Linked DNA regions of Schizosaccharomyces pombe. Changing the gene in region 2 together with the main gene of any one other region gives a genetic interaction. Each region holds a gene or a part of one and is shown on either strand. Other genes may lie near its edges. The genes, in order: arp6, hos2, swd22 and amk2.

Region 1 (5,569 bases), on a different chromosome or scaffold from region 2:
GACAGGAATATCCTCATTTTGAGGAGCATCATGTTTAATCCGTTTTACGGACTTGCGATATGATTTAGGGGTAATAACAGTTTGATGTTTAGGGGTGGTTGTGATAATATTTTCGTTATTAACAACCTCAAAATCGGTTTTCACTTCTCCTTCATCTTCCCTGTTGTCTTTCCAAGTTATAATTTCCTCCCTTTGTGCTTCGTTTGTCTTTTCCTCAATTCGATATTCCTTTTGTTTGGATACGGCATCATGTTTCGGGAGTACTATATTCGCAGATCGAGGAGCTAGAGGACATCTTCCTAGGTTCATGTGGTACAGCCACCTTACTAAATTAGTGTATTTGATTTTTCCTCTTAATGAGAGCCTAGCTTGGGATTAATTCTCTTTGTTTACTTTCGCAAAAGACAATATTAGTGTTTGGTGGTGGTCAACTCGAGATTACTGCAATTTGGCCAACTTTTACAGCTTAAAGTAACGATTCAATTGGGTAACATCTATGAAGAAAATATAAAATATCTGTACATATTTATATTATTAAAGTAAATTTATATCATTTAATCAACTTTTACTTTTATATTTAAGGCTTTACTGTTGAAAATGTGAGGGAAAATATATGTAGCCCATGAACAAGGCTCAACAGAAATAATTTGGGATCTCGATTCTTCTTATTACACAGTTTTCCTTTACTGAATTATATGATTAACTTGAGAAAAAGAACAATTTATCCAACAGAAGCAACAAAATTTCACGAAAAGCTCTTTCTATCCAAAATGTAAACAGACGCGACACGACTACATTGCAACGCAACGCGCTACATTCTAATTAAAGTAGTATACCGTGACTGCTCTAACTCAAGGTTGCTTTAACTCTTATACTGTCAACCTGAAACTGCACTGTACATATAAAATGCACTTGAAACAGTAGTGAAGAAGTGCTGAAATTTTTCTTTTTTTTCAATCTTGTTTTTCAGGCACATTAATAATATGTAAGTATAAACACTTGAAGAGATAGAATGTTACATATGATGCTTTACAAATCGATTAGTCTTGAAGACACAACTATGTGGTTAAATTTTTATACTTGTATACTGATTTTCATTCCTATCTTTTTTATAATATCTTTCATTTCGCTAACGCTTTTTAGGTATGAATTATCCTGGCGACAATAATAAAGATATAGTTATTTAGCTGTTGTTTTAGTGGTTGATCAAGAGATAGAATGATTCGTTAATTAATATAAAAAGATTTTATTCTTAATGCATGCATATTTTTCGTTTTATATTGCTGTAGCCTTAATGTAATAAACCAATTTCTTAAGATGCGAATTATCAGCTCGCCTTGAGAATTTTGTGAAGATAGAAATTTAACCCACATTATTGAGTTTTAAAATGGTGATCTATTATATTCTCCTTTTTCGTGTCATTATGTTTGCTCCATGTTCTGAGTACTCAGAACGAGTTATTTTATTCGCATTCCAGTGCTCCAACGGCATATGAGATGCCTTTTTCCATGGAAAGCAAATAGGATCTGAAGGTTCAAAAACTTTAACTTCCCAATTAGCTGGTGCCAGCGACCGTAATTCAGATGATAGTCTTTTATGAAATCCGGGAAATTTACAGTTTCCTCCTATTGTAACAACATTTTCAAGCAACATTGCCTGTATATTTTCAGGAAAGTGGGTGACACTTTGCATGACCGCCTCTGGAATCCCAGCCTCACGTATTTCGATATCAGATGGGGAAAATAATAATTCTGGTATCATGAATCTCTCATTTGAAAGATTCAAAACTTGTTGCTCTATTTTTTGATTAATATCTCTAACAATATATCCATGTTTTCCAGTGCTGTAATCGGGCAAAGCATAACAAATTTCCAATTTTGACCGTGGTTTTTCGTGACATATCTCCATGTCCTCCTTGAAGTTTTGAGACACATAACAAACGGACTCTTTAATTTCATTAACAATGTATGTTTCTTCCATCATATTGTACTTCCGGTATGAGATGACTTCTTTTAAATAATTCGTAAGTAATTTCCCTCCCACATCAACTCGCTTTACCGCTTGTTCTTGAACAGAGAAATCAATCACAGGAATTATGTGTGTAAAGCTATATCCAGAGTCAATTACCAAAACGCATTCTCCATGTTGACCAGTATACGCATCTTCTTGATTCATTGTGAAACTTCCATGATCCCAAGGAATTAGCTCAGCTGGGGTGCAAGGGAGGTAAGCATCGAATTGGAATTCCTCAAACACGAGTTGTATAGTATTGTGTTCTATGGAAGGCATTGTAAATACGGGCTGTGTAAGCAGTAAAGAATAGTCTGCCATGCTAGGTTCCATCACACCTACATTGCGCATTACCAAGTCCCATACGGCTGTTTCTGTGCTCCAATGGACCAAATACCCCTACTAGTATTAGTAAACATAATCTTTGTATTTATTTTGTTCGTAAATAATACTCCCTCATAAATGCTGTACCTTTTCATGCGCCCTGCGAAATTGTAAAGTTGTAAAGTCGTTACAGTTGGCCAATTCATTCCCCAAAAATAATCTGTTTCCATCTTTTGATCTCGTCAAACAATTCGGAATTTCACTAAAAACTATCGTTAGCTGAAAAAAGTAAAAGATACATGAAATTTATTGACGTGATGCACTTCTTCTTACACAACTTTTCCACCTGCAAATCCAGCTTTTATATGGTATGCCCCATTGTCTAAAACAATAGTTTTAGGGGGTAGTCCCATATTATTAATAAAAATGTATTCCTATATCTTAGGTCTTAACTTCACCCAAAAACCGCGATTAAATGTACTGTTGTTACGGCTTTGGAATGCTGTTATATGATAGCGTTGTGCTATAACAACAATATCATTACAGTTTGAAGCAATAGTATAATAACGCTGGCTCTTAAAGATATTTATGATATTTTTAATAATATCATAAATTTGAAGGATATCTTTTTAAAATAACTTTAAAGATAAATCTTGCAAATCTTAGCTTTATCAATATAACAACATCGTTAATGGGGGGCTGTCTATCAAATTTAGTTTGTAAAAGCCGTTTATCATATTATCCAACCCCTAAACTAGCCGTTATCAATTTAGTTAGCTGCTTAATTCAACGTACATCTAATATACCATTCATAAACACCGACTTTCCCTATACTACTAAATCGTGGATACTTAACTTTATGCTTATTTCCTCAAGAAAAATATATTTCTATTTCATTTTCTCATCAACTTGCGTTTGTCAATTCGCATAAAGTAAAAGCAAATGAACTAGTATTAATCGATTTTAAAACTTCTCATATTTATTAACTGGTATATTATGATTTTAAATTTCATTTAATCAATTGGCGTTCCAAAATTCTTATAAAAGAAACACACCTCTGCGTTTGTTTTCACCGAACTGTAAACCGATACAACAATAATTTTCTTAGCCTTCCCTTTAGACAAACCCTCCATCCATTTTTCCCAAGCCATAATTCCGGGTCGTATCTCATTGAAGAAATTATTTTTACAAACCCGTAGAGTTTGATTTCCCATTTAAAAAGAGCCGTTCAAATATGTCAGTTTGGCTTATTACCACTGTGTAGAAAATGCTTGTTTTATATTTTTATATTTTATTACCAAAATTGGACAGGCTTAGAGCGCCAAACAGGCTCATGTTTTATCGGAAGCGACAGCAAGGGTAGAGGGTTTTTCAGTTACCAATCTCTGTAAGGATTGCTGCTCGGATGCTTCCAAATTTTTGACAAGATCTTGTAATGTGACAGGGCTGTTGTCCTTTAAATGAACCATAAACTCTTGGAAAAGTGAAAATGGATCAACTTGATCTAACAAAGTATGGAAAAGAGGATCCTCGTCCAACAAGTAATTTCCTTGGAAATGCTCAAATTCGTCAAAATCGTCAACCACATCAGCCGAGATTTCTCCACCCAAATCAGGTCCCCCATATTCGACGGCAAAGTCATCGACACCCTCATCATCATCGGCTTCCCAATCGATGCCATCATTCCAACCAGAGCCAGATAAATTAAATGTTTCACCGTCATACTCTTTTTCTAATTCCGCGCGAGCAGCTAATGCTTCAGGTAGTGTATTTAAAAGAGTTATCATGACTTTCATTATATTACCCCAAGAGTCTTGGATAGCAACAGCAACTTGTTGAGCTCCCAGTGAAATTACCGATAAAATAGCTACCAAACTCAACTTTTTATCATGCACACGAGTAAACGAAGGTATATTTTCAAACCATAACGCAAAGAATGGTAAAGTCCACTGATGCATTTCAAGTACCCCAAGAGACATCGATGGGTTATAATATAATGCATTGATTATAACCTCCAACAAAAATACGCGGTATGTTTGAGAAGTTGGCTTTTCAGTTACAAGTAAGAGATTACCAGCAACCTCAATAAACGCAGGCACATATTGATCCAAAAGGCCACGATAATTAAGCATTAAAAGTTCGGTTAGTTTACAAGCCGAAACACGGTCATTGACGGCCAGGTGCTCGCTATTAAAAACTTGCATGATAATATCAACCATAACGGCGATATAATCAGGACGGGAAGCAAATTCCTTTCCACCATACGTGATAAAGTTACTTAAGGCAGGAGTTGCCTCCTCTACAAACTCAATGCCAGACTCTTTCAACACCTTTTGAAGCTTTTCATACACGCCCCACATAATAGGGGATATCTCCTTAGAAGCAAAAGTGCAACCATCGATAATTTCAAACAACTCTGCATACACGTCAAAAATGTTGTTATCTAATACAAAATTAATCATTGGAAGTAAGATTGCTTCAATTTCACGTAAGACATCAACCGTGTTCTCGAGACTTAAAATCATTGTACTGAGAGTATTTAAAATGCCAATAGCCGCAATCGATTTATCATCAACTAAGGAGTCAAAATCATCTACGGTAGTAGATTCGTCCATGGTTTCTTGCATAAGCTTGACGAAGGTATTGCGAAGTTGTTTAGCCAATTGTGAAGCAAAAGGTGTTAACTCGTGACTAAAAGAACTTACAAATTCCTCCATACAAGAAGATAAAGCATCAATATCAACTTCATTCGCCAGAAATAGGAGATTTTGCATAATGATGGGTACATGGGCGGTCATAACATCGTGTACCTCCAGATGACGCATAAGTGGTTGCAAAGCTAAAGCAGCTTGAATTCTCACAGGTAAATCGTTATCTTGAAGACAATTCAAAACTGCCTGGTATGCATTCAAAAGCTGCGATTTATCACTCCAATCAATTTCTGAAAACCGATTGATCATTTCACAAGCTCGAGATCGTAAATAACCAACTGGGCTAGTAAATTCGGGCATAACGTGAGCGACAAGGAAATCTTGCATCATGCCTGCAACAGGGGAGTTCTTAGAAAGGATGGAATTAGATACAGCAGCAACCATACGAAGTGCACCTTCTTTCTGGCGAGGATTTTTTTCATTAGGAGGTGAAGCGGCGTATTGGTTCAGGATGTCACTGGCGAAGGAAAGAATACCCATGAACGTATATTTCTTGCGTTTCGATGCTAATTTCACAAGGAACC
Region 2 (5,539 bases):
TCGTGCTGACGTTGAAGTCACTTGCTTTGGCTACGAAGGTATTAACGCTATCAAGGCCGCTTTGAAGGCTGCTGAAGATGTTCATACCGAGGAGGTTCCTATCAAAGTTAAACTTGTTGCTCCTCCACTTTACGTCCTTTTGACAAACGCATTAGATAAGTCATTGGGTCTCAAAAAGCTAGAAGAGGCAATTGGTGCAATCGAAAAATCCATTACAGCATCCAATGGTACCTGTACTGTTAAAATGAAACCCAAGGCGGTTAGTGAAACTGACGAATTGGAGCTTGCCGATTTGATGAAAAAATTTGAAAAGGAAAATGCTGAAATCTCTGGTGATGAAGAGGATGACCAAAGCGGTTCTGAGTAAATGGATTAGACACTAGCTAATATACGCTTTTTCATTGTGAATTTTTGGCACTTTAGTGTTCCATTATAATCTGGGGTTCTTTTTATTTTGTACTATACACTTTATCAAATTTATCTAGTGATATCTATGGTTAAAAAATTTCCTCTTCTTTTTTCCGAATGCGTAAGAGTTCTTTTATATGTTACGAGATAATATGAAAACGCTAGACGCTGCATCTTGTTCCTTTGTATGTACAATAATAAGTTCAGTTCCAATATAGTAGAAATAATGGACAACAAATGCAATTACAAATAATAAAGTTACAAAAGACTTATTACTGTGGTTAGCTACGGCGTGTAATATCTGCTTTGGGGAGGATTGGGGAAATTAAAGAACTGAATTTCTTAATGTACAAGTAATCTGGTACTTATTATGTGAGTGAAAAACAAACAAGGACAAGAATAAGATAAAAAGGATTCGTAATCGTGAAGATATGATTAATAAATTAACCATTTTGCAAATCACATATACACAGCTTGAACAACGTATAATCAAATATAGTAAGTTCGGAACAGGTGAAAAATTAGCGGATATTAAAGCCCAAAAAAAAACAACAATGCTTGCATTCAATAATGGGAAGACCAACAGACTTTAGATTGGGGAAAAATTACTTAGCATCAACAAGCTTCTGATCCCTACAAGCTTCGCAATACCATGTACCTTCAGGAGGAGCTTTAAGACCAACACACTCCATATGGAACCATTCACGCTCACAATTAGCATTGTCACAAGCGACCATTTGCCCATATGATCCTTGCTGGCAAAAACAATACTTTTCATTATCCTCTTCCATATCTTCTTCTGAGACCATTTCATTCGGCGTTGTGGAATCTGCCTTAGTTTCTAACTGGGTGGTTGCAGTGGCATTCGAAACCTTCTGACCGCGAGTTGAACCAGAATCTGCCAACGAAGCCGTATAAGGAGAGTGATAGACTCCATTTTGAATTGCACCCCTGGTAGTTGCTGAAGTACGACGGCGACCAGCTGTTGAGGCTCCCGACCGAGAAGGGGCCGGTGTTTGACGAGCACTTGAGGCACCACTTGGACTGTATCCACCATACGGTGAAGAAGCATAGTAGTCAGGAGCATTTAACAATTCCGCAGCTGTAAATCCATGACCGGCCTTTGCAAGTCTATCATCCAATCGCTTTATGTGCCGTGTAAGTCCCAATCTGGCACGATCCGCCAACTGGACTTTCTCGTTCTGTATATTAATTGCCTTTTGATACTCCTCGCGAATCGTCGAATACAAAGCATCTTCTTTTGGATGTGGGGTCAAGGAACCATGTGATTTAATGTATGACTGAATCTGAGAATCAGCTGCTTGAATTCTCTTCCAGATGTCATGTACAGCAACTTCCTTCACACTAATTTCGTCAAAGATGTGTTTTGTTTCGTTGGGAACATTATCCAACGTTTGCAAATACTCACTTAGTATGTAAGCTGTATCATCTGCCATTATTCTCAAATTGAAAATTATAGATACGTTCTAATTTCCGCTTTATGCAAAAATTATTATTATGATTTCAAATTCCAAAAGAAAGGGAGATTTGAGTCTTTTAAAGAGATAGGGAAAGTTGATATTCCACTAATATTTTCGATACTTCAATAACTAATGAATAAAAGATACTATGACTTTATCTTTTAAAGTAGAGGAATGTGACAATAAATGTACAAACGAGAAGGACAAAGACACTAATTGAAATAATATATATGAACCTATGGCTCGTTTTTGTGTCGTTTAAAGATTATTTTTACACTCTCTTAAGCTGCTGAAAATTTTTCCGGTTGTTTATAGTAGCCCACATTTGGTGTTGAGTTCCGCCACTCCATATAATGTAAACACAGTACTGGAAGGCAAAGAGGGCGAAATAAAAACATAAGAATTCACGCAAACCAAATCACTTTGAAGATAAATCTTTTCAACGTATGTATGATATCTAAGTTGCCAAATTGTCTATGAATTCACATGCTAAAGGTTACCATCTGTTTAAGTAATAACGATACGTTATTAATGTGTTAGTTCATATATGGAAGCATAACATACTAAACTACACCTAAGTTGGTAGCTTCCTTCTGTGTTCACTGAGATATACATTTTTAAGTTATAAGAATGAACCAGCACTAGCAATTCTTCAAAAAATTGTAAATCCTATTTGTTCTTGTGTTTATGGGCTTCAAAGAGTTTGAATTAACGCTTTGTTGAAGTTGTACATTTTATCTAATAAGGTATCGGGTTTAGCGACCTTTTGCTACGTATTCTGCGCTCGACGTAAAAATAAAGTATTTACAGTTCGTGTTGCTGTTTATTATTTGGATTGAATTCTTTTCTATAAAAAAATCTGGGTTGTTTTTCGATTTATATTAATTTGGCATTGGTCAATAACTTTCATTTCTCTTGTTTCTTCTGAAACAGTTATTAATTTGTTTCTTAATTTTATTTATTCTTTTCTTGTTCTTTCTTTAGAAAAGATATTTTCATTTAATTTGTCTCGCGGTTTTTTTTAGTATAATAGTCTGTATATCATGGATACTCCTGAGACATCCACACCTTATGAACAAGTTGAAAAGGGGTCTTTTTTTAGCTTTCGACCTCAAAAAAAGCGTGTCACATATCACTTAGATGAACAGGTGGGAAACTACCACTATGGTGACAAACATCCAATGAAGCCCCATCGAATTACCATTACAAATCATTTAGTGATGGGTTATGGGTTGCATAACAAAATGAGTGTATTCAGCCCCCGGATGGCAACTTTTGGTGAAATGTCAGAATTTCATAGGGAGGATTATTTGGATTTCCTTAAGCGCGTTACTCCTGATAATGCTGAACAATTTGCTGATAAGTTCCAACAATTCAATATTGGTGATGACTGTCCGGTCTTTGACGGCACTTATGAATTTTCTCAAAGGTCGGCAGGCGCTAGTTTGGATGCTTCTCGGAAGTTAGTGCAAGGTCAAACAGACATTGCTATCAATTGGAGCGGTGGTCTCCATCATGCAAAGCGTGGTGAGGCTAGTGGATTCTGCTATGTTAATGATATTGTTCTAGCAATTTTGAACATGCTACGGTTTTTTCCTCGCGTTTTGTATATCGATATCGATATTCATCATGGAGATGGTGTGCAGCAAGCATTCTATGAATCTGACCGCGTGTTGACGGTTTCTTTTCACAAGTATAATGGTGATTTTTTTCCTGCAACTGGTAATTTTGATGAAAATGGCGTGAAAGGAGGGAAATATTTTGCTTTAAACGTTCCTTTGGAAGATGGTATTGGTGATGAACAGTACACTAGTCTTTTCAAATCCATAATTGAACCAACTATCAATACTTTTCAACCTTCTGCAATTGTCCTTCAGTGTGGTGCTGATTCGCTTGGTTATGATCGGCTCGGCGTGTTCAATCTGAGCATCCATGCACATGGGGAATGTGTTAGATTTACCCGTTCATTCAATATACCCATGCTTGTAGTTGGAGGTGGTGGTTATACTCTTAGAAATGTTGCTAGAGCGTGGTGTTATGAAACTTCCATATGTGTAAACGAACAAATACCTTCAGAATTACCTCGTGAAACTTTGTATTACGAATTTTTCGCACCAGATTACACCCTCCATCCGCGATTAACCACGAAGATAGAAAATAAAAATACACCGAAAGCTCTTGAAGATCTTCGAATACGGGCCTTGGAGCAATTACGTTACTTAGGAGGAGCGCCAAGCGTTCAGATGCAGCAAATTCCACCAGACTTAACTGGGCATTTGGAAGAAGAAGACGAACGGTTGAATGATGAATACTTAGACAAAGCTGTGGATGTTCGCGTTCGAGGCTGATATTAATGAATTTTCGACTTTTTATTTGATATCCGTACAAACATCAAATAATTTTAGTTAATGTTTATAGACATTGTAAATATTAATAATTGACCCTATACGAAAATACGTTTACCATAGTGATTATGTATTATTTTTATAAACGATTATGCAAAAAAAAACACTAAATTTATTCCTCTTTGTCTAAACGAACTGCAGGGCTAGCCTCAATTAGGTCCAAGTTAACCTTAGGACCAATCAATTGTCTAATGTCGGCCACACCATATTTGATCATAGTGGGGCGCTCTAAAGAAAGACCAAAACCTAAACAACGAACATCTTTAGGTAATCCCATAGGCTCTAACATCTCCGGACGGAACATGCCGCTGTTTCCGACTTCAACCCACTTACCAAGCTTTTCGTGGTAGGAAAAGACTTCCAATGAAGGTTCAGTATAAGGATTATAAGCAGGTTTGAAGCGCAAATTTTTAACGTTCATTTTTCCAAAGAACACCTCAAGGAAACCGATCAAATCACCGAGGGTAATATTTCTATCGCAGATTACGCCTTCGACTTGATGAAATTCGGCAAGATGAGTTGCGTCAACGGTTTCATTGCGGAAGACCCGATCAATTGAGAAGTATTTAGCAGGGTGAAAGCCATTTTGGGCAAGTTTGTACAACATATTCGCCGAGACAGCAGTAGTATGAGTACGAAGAACTAGTTTACGAGTTTCCTCCAAGGAAAAGGGAGCACGGTATCCAATGCCCTTAGTCTCACCACCGTTTTCGTGAGTGGCCTTTACTCGAGCAACATATTCGGGATCTGGCAATTTATCAGTAGAAGCAGGAACTTTCAAAAAGAAAGTATCTTGAGCATCCCTTGCTGAATGTTGTTGGGGGACAAATAAAGCATCAAAGTTCCAAAATCCACTTTCAACAAAATTGTTGGTTGGCATTTCTTCAAAACCCAATTCGAAGAAAAATTTACGGAATTCTTCACGTACTTTCATCAAAGGATGAAGACATCCACCAGCTGGAGGTATACCTTCAGCTGCAAAGTTGTAAGATTTAAACTTGGCACTTTCCCATGATCGAGAGGTGATCATCTCAGCAGTTAAATCGGTGTTCAGTTTTTCAATTTGAAGCGAGAAATTTGGACCTTTCCTCAAAGAGAAGTACATAATTTTGTTACGTTCAACAAGCTTTCTCTTCTTCAAATCAGTTAACGTCTTACTGTCAGAGATAGTTCCATGTTCCTTAATTTCACTAAGGACCTTAGGGGTCTCATCTGTAATGGAATCAGTCTGGTCAGTTAGTAAAT
Region 3 (5,298 bases), 1.5 Mb from region 2:
TTAGTGTCTGATGATTCGAAAGCACCCGCTAGTGGGTTTGTTGTTGGGGGATTTTCAAATGTTTCGTTGGATCCTAAAACGATTAAAGGTTCTCAAATTGAACTCTTCAAAAGCGGAAGAAAATTTCAATTCGACACCAAAGGATCGATTTCGAAACGCTTCAGGTTCCCTGGTATTCAGAGCTCAATTATGGCTTACACCATTTCAGTAACGTACGAACTTTATCCTGGTGCCGTACCTCAAAAAGAATTTACCCCTATGTTAAAGCAAAGTATTGAATCTCCATTTGAAACAAAATATCATGTGAATATGTCAAATACAGAACTTTCTGTTCACGGGATATCCCCATTTATGGAATTTTTTGGTAAGGAATCAGAAAAATCTTTAACTCTCGAATTCTTTTTGAATCCTGCTATCTATAAGTCGGTTTATGTTTCAATACAGCCAAGTTATTACAGGAGCGCTGGGCGTCTGCTCATGCGTTACAGAACATTACTTGCTTCCTTTCCTGTGGTTGTAATTAGTTTGGCAGCTTACAATCAGTTTAGGTATTTTCATTACGGTTCTGCATACTTGAGTATGTCGGCTGCACTTGAAGTCATGATTCGCAAAGGACTTATCAAACTCCTTTTTTTAGTTTCGATCTTGTCAATTGCATTTTCATATTTAATTAGCAGAGTAGAGTTGATTGTTGCCGATGGTGCTGACCCTGTCGCCTCTTGGAAAATATTCGCAATGATGGTTCCAAAATCTTTCTGGAAACAAAATCATTTACTTTTTGGACTACAGACTGCTCAATTTTGGTTCCTCGCCCCGCTGTTAACTTTAATGTTTGTTGGCTTAGTTATAACAGCCAGTGTTATTATACTCTGTGTCATGCATTTATTAGCATTCATATATGGTATCTACTTGCGTTATAAAGGTTTGACTTTTACTGGTGTATGCCAAGCTGTGAAGTTCTCCTTTCAATGTCTGAGAACAAGAAATACTAGAAAATTGGATCATGGAGAATTTAAAAAACTTTCGAGTTTTCTATCTCAGAGAAATATGTATTATGCAAACCCTTCTCTCTGTTACGTATATGGAAAGAAGCATATGCAAGCTCGGATAATTGGCATCATGTTATTGTTGCTCATGGCAATGACGGTGGTACCCTTTCAACTTGTTTATGGTGTTGCTTTATGTACCCAGACAGTAACTACTGCTAAAGCTTTACACTTGGCCCGATTTTGCACCAAGTCAAGCCATTACCGAAAAAAATTGTGGGATTTCTACAATTTCTCTTGCACGATAACAATACTGATGTTACTCTTAGCTCCTTTGGACTTTCCTGTTCTCATTGTTTGGGCTAGAAATCTTTCCATGCATTGGTCTATTCCTTTCCCCACACATCATAATTTCTTCTCAATTATCCCTTTTATATTACTCACCGAAATTTTACGAACAGGAAAGATGCTACCTCGTTTGAACGACGTGGAGTACTACATAAATAACGTTTTTTTGTTTCTTCTGTCTTTCTATTCATTGATATATGGAGCTGAAAAACCATACCTCATTCACAATGTAGTTGGGTTATACTTTTTTTGGCTTTTATTTTTGTATGCCAAGAATGGTTTTTTTGTACAAAACATTTCGAAATGGCCGATCATTCCTAGAATGAAGTATTTTATTAAGCACAAATTTTTGCGATCTATTTCTTAATGGAAACTTGTAACAATATTATTTAATTCTTTTCTCTTTTTTCTTTATTCTCTCTTTTATATTACATTATTTCCTTTATTTTCACACTGTTGAACACTTATCATACTTTAATTTTCAAGATAGAACTTCGTTTTTATTTGGTAGACATTCGTTCATTGAATTTTATTTCTATTTATTACCTTGAATAATATCTCTTTACAAAGTTTATTGGTTTATCAAAGACTGAATAACTCACATTAGCATGATGGAAATAGAAAAAGATGAATTAATATATGAGCTGTCATCAACAGTTAAGAGATATTTTTTGATTTTTGTAGACCAACACTAAAGGTACTGGCCTTTCTTCCGTACGTGATAATGGCTGTAATAGTTCAAATAAGGAAACATAATTCACTTGGGAAAATTCCTGAGATAAAGGCACAATATTAGCGGTTGGCGAAGGAAGCTTGTAAATCTGGCGCACACTCAGGTCGGGAAAAATAGCCAAAGCTTGGTGATTCCAAACAAATTGAAACATGTAGCTATGAAATCCGTCAACATATATGCGGCATAAGGCAAGAGGTCTGTTGCTGATGGACAAAGTCTTCAGTGAGGATGATGTGAAAGAACCCAAACAAGCCAAAATCCCAAGAGTATCTGTTGGATAAGATGACAAAGAGCCTTCAAGCTCTCTAACAAATCTGGGCCCTATTGATCCCTTGTTAGATTTGCAGGATACGACAACTTTGGTGGGCTCAAACAACACATTTTTAATCGAAAATTGGCCCACCAAATCCACCCCACCATCGCCCTTTCCACCACATCTTTCAAGCTGAAAACTGTGTTGCTTTAGCACATACTGTACCAAGTATTCAAACAAGGTTCCTTGGGCAACAGTATTCGACGTTGAAGGCTTCTGAACACTCAAATGTTCTAAATAGGAAACAAGATTGTTGTGTGTGACAGACAAGTTTCTAAGGCCTAAAAGGCCTCTGTTCATGAATGAAAAATTTCTACACCGATTGAACCCTGACTTTAAAATCCACATCACGCTAGACAGAATGCGAAAGACTTAAACAGTATAAAGTTCAGGATAAGAAATGAATTATGCAAATATTCATTCCCTTCTAATTCGAATAACAACGACTGAGGATCGAAAGTAGTTATTTAAATAATTTTTGCTGAATTTTAGAAGTTCGTGAATCACGCCGTTCCTTAGTAATTTTAATTAATCTGTTAACGGTTTGCAAAAGCAAATTCGCGATATCTAAGAAAAATTTATTCAGAAAATAACAAAAATACAGAGCTTTGAGGATTACAAGCAAGCGACAAAATAATTGAAACTGGTTCTGCTGTATTTCATGGAATGATCCAGCTTCCTTGGTAGCTTTGTTTATAAGTTTTCCTTAATAAAAATTTACTCTTAAATTATATTTGATAATATGAAAGTTTTGATAACATCACGCCTCCATTTCCACAATATCAAGCCTTCAGACTCTTTTATTAATCAAGTGTATTTTTGGTGGAGAAATTAATAGCCTGTTAATTTTCAACTTCACTATTCTTTTTAAAAGTTTTCGAATTGTAATTTAAAACTGTATACTAAAACGTGCTACAGTTCGTTAAACACGTTGTCTGGCACTACTCTAATTTTGTGGAATCACAAGTAAACAAATGCAAGCAAGGGCTTAGCAAAGTAGAAAGGCCCTTAAGGGGATATAAAAGGAAATTCAAAGAGAATTTATATATTTTATTTAATTCTCAATGGATATCGGCATACTTTCGAGTTTAAAGCCTGCACAGTCGTTTCGTGATAACTCATTAGGAAGCTTCATTAATAGCATTGATTACAGTGATTCTGGAGAGTATGTTGCAACGACATGTTCTGCCGATGACACAGTCCAAATATATGATGCTTTAGATCCGAAGCAAGTCCATACAATAACTTGTTTCGAAACCGGCATAGAAGTTGCTCGTTTTACACACCACGATCATAATCTACTTTTGTCTACCACAAAGGGGAATAAGGATATTCAATATGTTTCAATTTATGACAACAAAAGAATATCGTACTTCAGTGGGCACACGGACATCGTTTCATCCATTGAGGTTTCTCCTATTGAAGACCAATTCGTTAGTACGGCAAACGACAAAACCTTGAAGCTTTGGAAAATGAATCAATCCTCGAGATGCCTTGGAAATTTAGATCTCCCATCCCTTGGAATTCCCGCTTATGATCCCACAGGTCTTGTTTTTGCGGTTGCATGTCATTCACTGTCACGTATCTTTCTTTACGACGTGCGGAATTATGGTTCTGATCCGTTTTCAACATTCACAATAGATGACTCTCGTTACTTATCAAGGTTTTCGTTTCCCCCCATGATGCCTGAGTGGAAACATATGGAGTTTTCCAACGATGGAAAATGTATACTTCTCTCAACTAGAGCTAATGTTCACTATATACTTGATGCATTCAGCGGGGATGTTTTATCTAGATTAGAGGACTTCCAAGAATTGCCGTTCTCCAACAATTTTCACGGCGGCTCAACCACTTTTGTACCTCAAGGTAATTTTGTCATAGGATCTGCTGACGACCGTACCCTGAATGTATGGAATTTAAGACATACCTTTCACCATAAAGGAAAAACAAGACCTCCTGAACATCGTATTGTTTCTCAGTCTATAATTAATCCAGGTCTTGTTAAGTATAATCCTAGGTATGATCAACTTTTGACTGCAGGGTCCCAACTCGTTTTTTGGCTTCCCGAAAAATATGCCTTAACATCATGATTATACTGCTAAAGCATACCGTAATCTTCTCCCAGGTTTTAATTATTATATAATCTTATTTATGTCTTCAACAACTACCTATACGTAAACCTGAGGAACCTGTCATTTCAACAAATGAACTAAAAATTTTTAAAATATAAAATCCTCATAAATCTTTAATTGATTTTTCATATTTCCCGATCTTAATTTTCTTCATGCAATGTTAGAATTTTTACTAATACCCTTTTTATTAAAGGATTCGCTAGAATTCATTGATATATGAATATCAAGAAATCAAACTTTGCGATAAGCAAAATAATGTTAATACTATTCTATCTTTTGACATATACCATGTTGACATTGTATAACGCATACGTATGCATGTAAATGACTCCTAGATATATCTGTTTTCTTATTCCTTCAATCCACTGTAATTAAAAAAAAAGATTAAATTAAAGAAATCCCAGGTAAACGGGAAAGCGAATTGTTTAGGTGCTTGACATAGTGAGATGACTCTTACCAGTTGCTTTAAGTGTGATCGGGGATACCACTGTTCGTCACAATACTCACGTGTAATATACATTGAACTACATTTATAGAAGTTGCTTCACCTTTTTAGCATTTTCTAAATAAAATAGAAATGGAGCCTTCAATAAAGTATCCCATCTATGGTATGCCGTTCAGTTGCATAGTTATACTAATTTACGAAAGAATGGGAACTTTTACAAGACACTTATTACCAAAAGGTACGTCAGAATGGAATTTGTAACAGAGTTAAAAACTAATGTAACTAGTCAGCTATTGGAAAGGCGGAATGGGAATATATAGATCCTGTTGACTTTATGTTTG
Region 4 (5,231 bases), on a different chromosome or scaffold from region 2:
CAGCGCTCACATATAGGATGGTAGATAGAATTTTAAGGCTTCTTAATAAGTAATTGAGCACTACAGCTCTGACTACAGTCCATATAGTTTCAAAGCCCTCAATAAACGAGAGATCCATGTCTTAAACAAAAAAGTTTTAAATTAGTGCTCTTAATAATTAGCACTCTGGATGTAAGTGATCAAGGAAGGTGCCCTTTCAAGTTGTTTGCGTAATGCACTATCTTGTATACCATGTCAGCAATATGACACTACGCTATGATACACTACGTTGCGTATCACTATATGTCACATGTTCTAATTATATATCGTACCATGTATGATACGATATGGAGATTGATCTTAATGATAATCTATTAAGATCAATATTATCTGAATACTATAAATAGAGCTACTGCTGAACCTCGTTCCTCAGTTCAGTTATGAGCTATATTAGTGATAGGTAACATTATAACCCAGTTAATACAATACCTATACTCAGTTGCTACTTATACAACCTGTGTATTGTAATATAATAGATCACAAGGAAAACTCACCGTAGTTCTACGTATCCTTAAATCAGATACCAAACTGCGTAGCGTACATACCAATTCTAAATACTACTATTCCTACAATACATTAATGTCAGCTTATATAAAATACACTACGATACACTATAACATATGCTCTAATATTCTATTTGCTCTATTTACTTACAAGATAAGTTATCAAGAAGATTATAATAGTGTTCAATAATAAAAAGATGTTATTTTATTACATAGTTTTTTCAATGCTTTAAATTAAGACAAACTGAACCTCGTTCCTCAGTTCAGTTATTAGCTAAATCGGTCACCAATACTAGTAGACTTATAACAATAAATATAATATTGTTAGTGAAGCATACCCATACCGTTATCTTGTAGCCCGCAAAAGAAACTCATCGCATTTTAGTGTATCGCTAAACAAATACCAAACTACGTAGCAAACAATAAATCGCGTAGGTTATTCATTAAAAGCCTCTAGGATATGTATGGGTATAATTTGTATATTTAAACGGTCTATTTCAAATCCTTCCTCGTGTTCGTGGCTTTAAAACAGCATAAAAAGATTACCACTGAAATCAAAATTTCGTTTGAGTTAGGTGAACGGAAAGAGTACTCTAACAGCATATTCAACCATATGTACTTCAATTCATGACATTTTTGTAATGGAACATATCATATCAAAAAACAATACTTCATACTTTATTGTATCATTAAACCAATACTGAGCTGCGTACTAACAACATATAAGTTTTCACTACTTTGCTTCGTTATAGATTATAAAGTGAAGGATTCATCGCAACAAAAATTCACGTTTGGTTTGGTAAAGTCGTCATTTAACTAAAAAATAATATATTCTTCGTTTCATATGGAATGTATTTAATCAGTACGTTCATTGAAAACACTGTTCTTGTTTTTGCAATGCAGTGATTTTAGTTCGCTTATTTCGCAGCATAATAAGTAGACATGAAAAATTGACGGAAATAGAGCATTTGATATCTAGAAATTCAGGCTTTTTTTAAGTTCGTAACTTAATTTGAGTGATTTCGTCTGAGAAATAGAAGCGTCTTTTTTACGAAAGAAGTTTTTGCGCCATACTTATATATTGTTATACTAGAACGTAGTTAAAAAAGATGAAGCTATACGAGCGTAATGTACAAGGTATTCATTAATTTATAAACATATAATATGCAGGCCTTTCGGTTATGGAAGTTTAACTCAATTAAAGCCTCGCTAAGTTACAATAATTATAAGTGAACCGCTTTTAGTGTATAATTAACTTGAAGGCCTCTCAATGCACAGAGTAGTTTAAAATTTTTCTATATCGTTTCATATGTAGCTTCAATAATTTTTTAAACATTTCCATTAAGAATGAGAAGCATGCTGCTTTTTACCTTCAAAAGATTATACATAGCTGTTGTAGAACTGTATTATACGTCCCAAATGCAATATTAAATTTTTCAGCTTTTATCATACAGCTTTTAGATATTTATTCTTTATAATAAATGGATTTTCAATTAATGTTTTCTTTGATAAAGCTGCAAAACAGTACGAAGCGTTTAACTGTGAATAACGCTGCACTTTAGCTTCCACTATTTAATGATAGCTTAGATACAATAAATAACCTTATTTCATGCTCGTTGGGGTTTAGTTCAAAGTGATGAGCTACAAAGCCAGAACAAACTACTTTACATCATTTCAAAATGGGAAATGTTCAATCTCAGGAGGGTAATGTCCTTTAAGTTAAACACATGTGAAATAAGTATCTAATTTAATGTTAGGAGAGACTCGCGCACATGCTGTCCCTTCTCAAGATGCCACAACAACGCCTGACAATGCAAATAACGTTCCAAAAGAACCACGTGCCCAAAGCATGATTAGTATTGCTGCAGATGATTTGAATCAAGAAGGTGAAATGTCGGATGATAATCAGCAGGAAGGCGGTAATAATCGTACTTCCCAAAACGGAACTTCAGGATCGAGTGGTCATACGAAACGCCGTTCTCAAACTTCAGGCAAGAAGACACATCAGCCTTATTCTGGTAAGTTTCTTTAAGACCGGTTTATTTGATTGCTTGACATCCTTATGTAACAAGGGTGATTTACCGTAACATTGCATTATCATTTAAGCTGTTGACCTTAACGTTTGTTTGCAATAGTTTTCAGAAAGGAGATTTTTTGCAATTGACAATTTAATTACTTACACATATAGGTCCTTGTGTGCCAACCATTATTCGATGGAGAGGAGGCGGTGAAGTTGTTTATGTCACTGGATCGTTTTCTCGTTGGAAGAAAAAAATCCAATTACTGAAAAGGTATGAGTTTTTCATGGTGTGCTTTTTTCTATATTTGAGCCTCCCTTTATAGGTTGTTTATCCTGTTTTAAGCTTGCTAACTTTTTCGCCAAATAGCGAAGATTACACTGTCCTTTTGCAATTACGTCCTGGAACTCAGCGTTTTAAATTCTTGGTTGATGGTATATGGTGCTGTTCTTCAGATTTTCCAACTGCCACCGATGCGGAAGGCAACCTTTACAACTACCTCGAGGTGGAAGCTAATGAGAAGTTAGGCGCTAGTATTGATGAAAGATTGAGTCAAGTTCATACGGACCTTCCGATGGAGGAAAAGTCTGAATCTGAGCAATATTCTACGGAGATACCAGCTTTTCTTACTAGCAACACCCTTCAAGAGTTGAAGTTGCCAAAGCCCCCTTCTCTACCTCCTCATCTTGAGAAGTGTATCCTTAACTCAAATACTGCCTATAAGGAGGATCAGTCTGTCTTGCCAAATCCTAATCACGTCCTTTTAAACCATTTAGCAGCTGCAAATACCCAGTTAGGCGTTCTCGCTTTAAGTGCTACTACGCGCTATCATCGAAAGGTAAGTCGGTTCCTTATACGCGTTGCTTGACTAACTTTGTTTCCCCAGTATGTCACTACTGCTATGTTTAAAAATTTTGATGTCTAGCCATACCGCATCTGTCGAATTTATTGTTTATATTTCGCGACGTATATAATCACTTTAATGATAAATTTATTTTTTTAAATTTCTCAAACATCCCATCATTATACTTCATTTGATTGGTTTATTTGCACGATTTTGTTTCGAGAAAACTTTACGCTGTGATATCAAGCACAAAGCAACCAGTTCATATTTCACTATGTAGCGATCCATAGGTTAATTAATTTTTATAAATACATATCTAGTTACTTCACTTCACGATGTTATTCTCTTAATCCTTTGCGTAACGGAACCTTTTCCACAAATATAGCAATAGGTAGAAGAACGAAAAAATCGCGACTCCATTAGTCACCCATTCTACGACATGTTTATAGGATAAATCGGCTATTGGAATAGATATGCTTAAGGTTGTTGGATCGTTTTGTAAGGTATATTTGTTCTTACTGGAAAACAGAAATCTGAAATCATTTACTTTGTCTTCAGTGTCACAATTCCAGAAAAACTTGGGATTTGTTAATGATGTTTTTAAGTATGTTTGTCCTTTGAGAGGGCTTTGATAACGTGTGTGTAAGGGAATGATAGTGTCTATATAGTCTTTTTGCAACAAACCATCGTCCGTATATATGTCAAACCAGAAAAAAGACCCAGTACCATTTAATTTGTAACTAGGTGCTTCCAAGTCGGTCTCACCCCAAATTCCTAAAACATGCCCTAAATTGTCGGCATGCATTTCCGCAATATTAGATAGCTCGTACCTGTCAATAAACAATGTAGGTGGTATGTACATGAACCCCTGCAAAGAGCATTCGTCTTCAGGTTTATGCAGATTTTTCAAATGAACATGCAATTTGGGATGTAGACCTACCGGCAAACCGAGCTGTGTCTCATAACTACCCACTGGTATATCTAAATTTGGAACAGTTTCCAAAGACACATTCCATCCCTTTTCACTCATACAAGCAAAAATCATTTCTTCATTGTTTAAAGCTTTATTTCCTTTGTCAATAAATATCTGCATAAATTCTTCAGATACTACTTCTGAATGGAAAACCTTTCCAAAAGGGGTTTCAACCCAATAATTCTAGTACAAATTAGCTAGAGGTTTCACAATTCGTAGTGTTGAATATAGGTTATTACCTCTCTCGAAAGATGCGATATATTAATATTGTTTTTGATCTCCCTAAACTGTTTGGCGATAGACCTTGAAATGGTATTAGATCTAGCATTTTCAAGAAGCTACTTACAAAGAATCTATTGTATTGTTTCTTAGAATCCAAACACCCTTGGGCAAATAATTTACTGTGTTGGAAATAACAACTTTAAACAATGTTGTTGTTCCAGTATCTTGATTTGTTCTTTGTAAATCCATCTAATTGTATTTATTAGGAATGAACGATTTCATTAAAACAGTAAAATTTAACTGTCTTCTCTAAAGTAGCCTTTCTTTAAAAAGTCAATAACTTAATTATGCGGGGTTCAAAGTGAGTTGTACACGCAGGAATTTAATTTCGATTTTTGCACCAAGTGCAGCATTAAAATTGAAGTAATTGAATTCTTCTTAAATATTTTCTATCCTTTTTTAAATAACTGTATAAAAATAACTATTAATTTGGATATTATAAATTGATGTTATTTAGTTACTCATGACATATGTGGAAATACCAGGTCTGATTAAAGCATGAAGAGACATAATAATGGATGATTATCTTTTAAAATAAATAAATAATAGCAAAAGGGTGACTTAAAATCCTC

What was found.
Region 1: mutations in hos2 (region 2) and arp6 together harm fitness more than expected from each alone (negative genetic interaction), as found in Schizosaccharomyces pombe (2 studies listed by BioGRID).
Region 3: mutations in hos2 (region 2) and swd22 together harm fitness more than expected from each alone (negative genetic interaction), as found in Schizosaccharomyces pombe (2 studies listed by BioGRID).
Region 4: mutations in hos2 (region 2) and amk2 together harm fitness more than expected from each alone (negative genetic interaction), as found in Schizosaccharomyces pombe (2 studies listed by BioGRID).

What each region holds. Positions count from the first base shown.
Region 1 is NC_003421.2:1,209,186-1,214,754, reverse strand, and holds arp6 (Swr1 actin-like protein Arp6), read right to left. Parts: upstream 2,817-5,569; 5' UTR 2,748-2,816; coding exon 2,668-2,747; exon of another isoform or gene 2,597-2,667; coding exon 2,482-2,596; exon of another isoform or gene 2,410-2,481; coding exon 1,399-2,409; 3' UTR 1,096-1,398; downstream 1-1,095. Other genes in the region: Hsk1-Dfp1 kinase complex regulatory subunit Dfp1, read right to left, coding at 1-309; nmd5 (karyopherin), read right to left, coding at 3,666-5,569.
Region 2 is NC_003424.3:3,167,178-3,172,716, forward strand, and holds hos2 (class 1 histone deacetylase Hos2), read left to right. Parts: upstream 1-2,493; 5' UTR 2,494-2,932; coding exon 2,933-4,237; 3' UTR 4,238-4,335; downstream 4,336-5,539. Other genes in the region: tif211 (translation initiation factor eIF2 alpha subunit), read left to right, coding at 1-367; png1 (chromatin modification-related protein), read right to left, coding at 1,014-1,865; phenylalanine--tRNA (Phe) ligase alpha subunit Frs2, read right to left, coding at 4,407-5,522.
Region 3 is NC_003424.3:1,686,918-1,692,215, forward strand, and holds swd22 (Set1C-histone-H3K4 methyltransferase complex subunit Swd2), read left to right. Parts: upstream 1-3,348; 5' UTR 3,349-3,444; coding exon 3,445-4,470; 3' UTR 4,471-4,798; downstream 4,799-5,298. Other genes in the region: bst1 (GPI inositol deacylase), read left to right, coding at 1-1,701; SPOM_SPAC824.03C (uncharacterized protein), read right to left, coding at 1,985-2,728; HOPS complex subunit Vps16, read left to right, coding at 5,090-5,120, 5,161-5,195, 5,244-5,298.
Region 4 is NC_003421.2:2,205,990-2,211,220, reverse strand, and holds amk2 (serine/threonine protein kinase AMPK (beta) regulatory subunit Amk2), read left to right. Parts: upstream 1-2,193; 5' UTR 2,194-2,221; coding exon 2,222-2,246; exon of another isoform or gene 2,247-2,299; coding exon 2,300-2,560; exon of another isoform or gene 2,561-2,730; coding exon 2,731-2,833; intron 2,834-2,929; coding exon 2,930-3,398; intron 3,399-3,446; coding exon 3,447-3,485; 3' UTR 3,486-3,736; downstream 3,737-5,231. Other genes in the region: SPOM_SPCC1919.04 (uncharacterized protein), read right to left, coding at 1-118; pbn1 (GPI synthesis protein pig-X), read right to left, coding at 3,751-4,560, 4,617-4,680, 4,724-4,848. UniProt on the Schizosaccharomyces pombe protein: Beta subunit of AMP-activated protein kinase (AMPK), which is required for transcriptional, metabolic, and developmental adaptations in response to glucose limitation.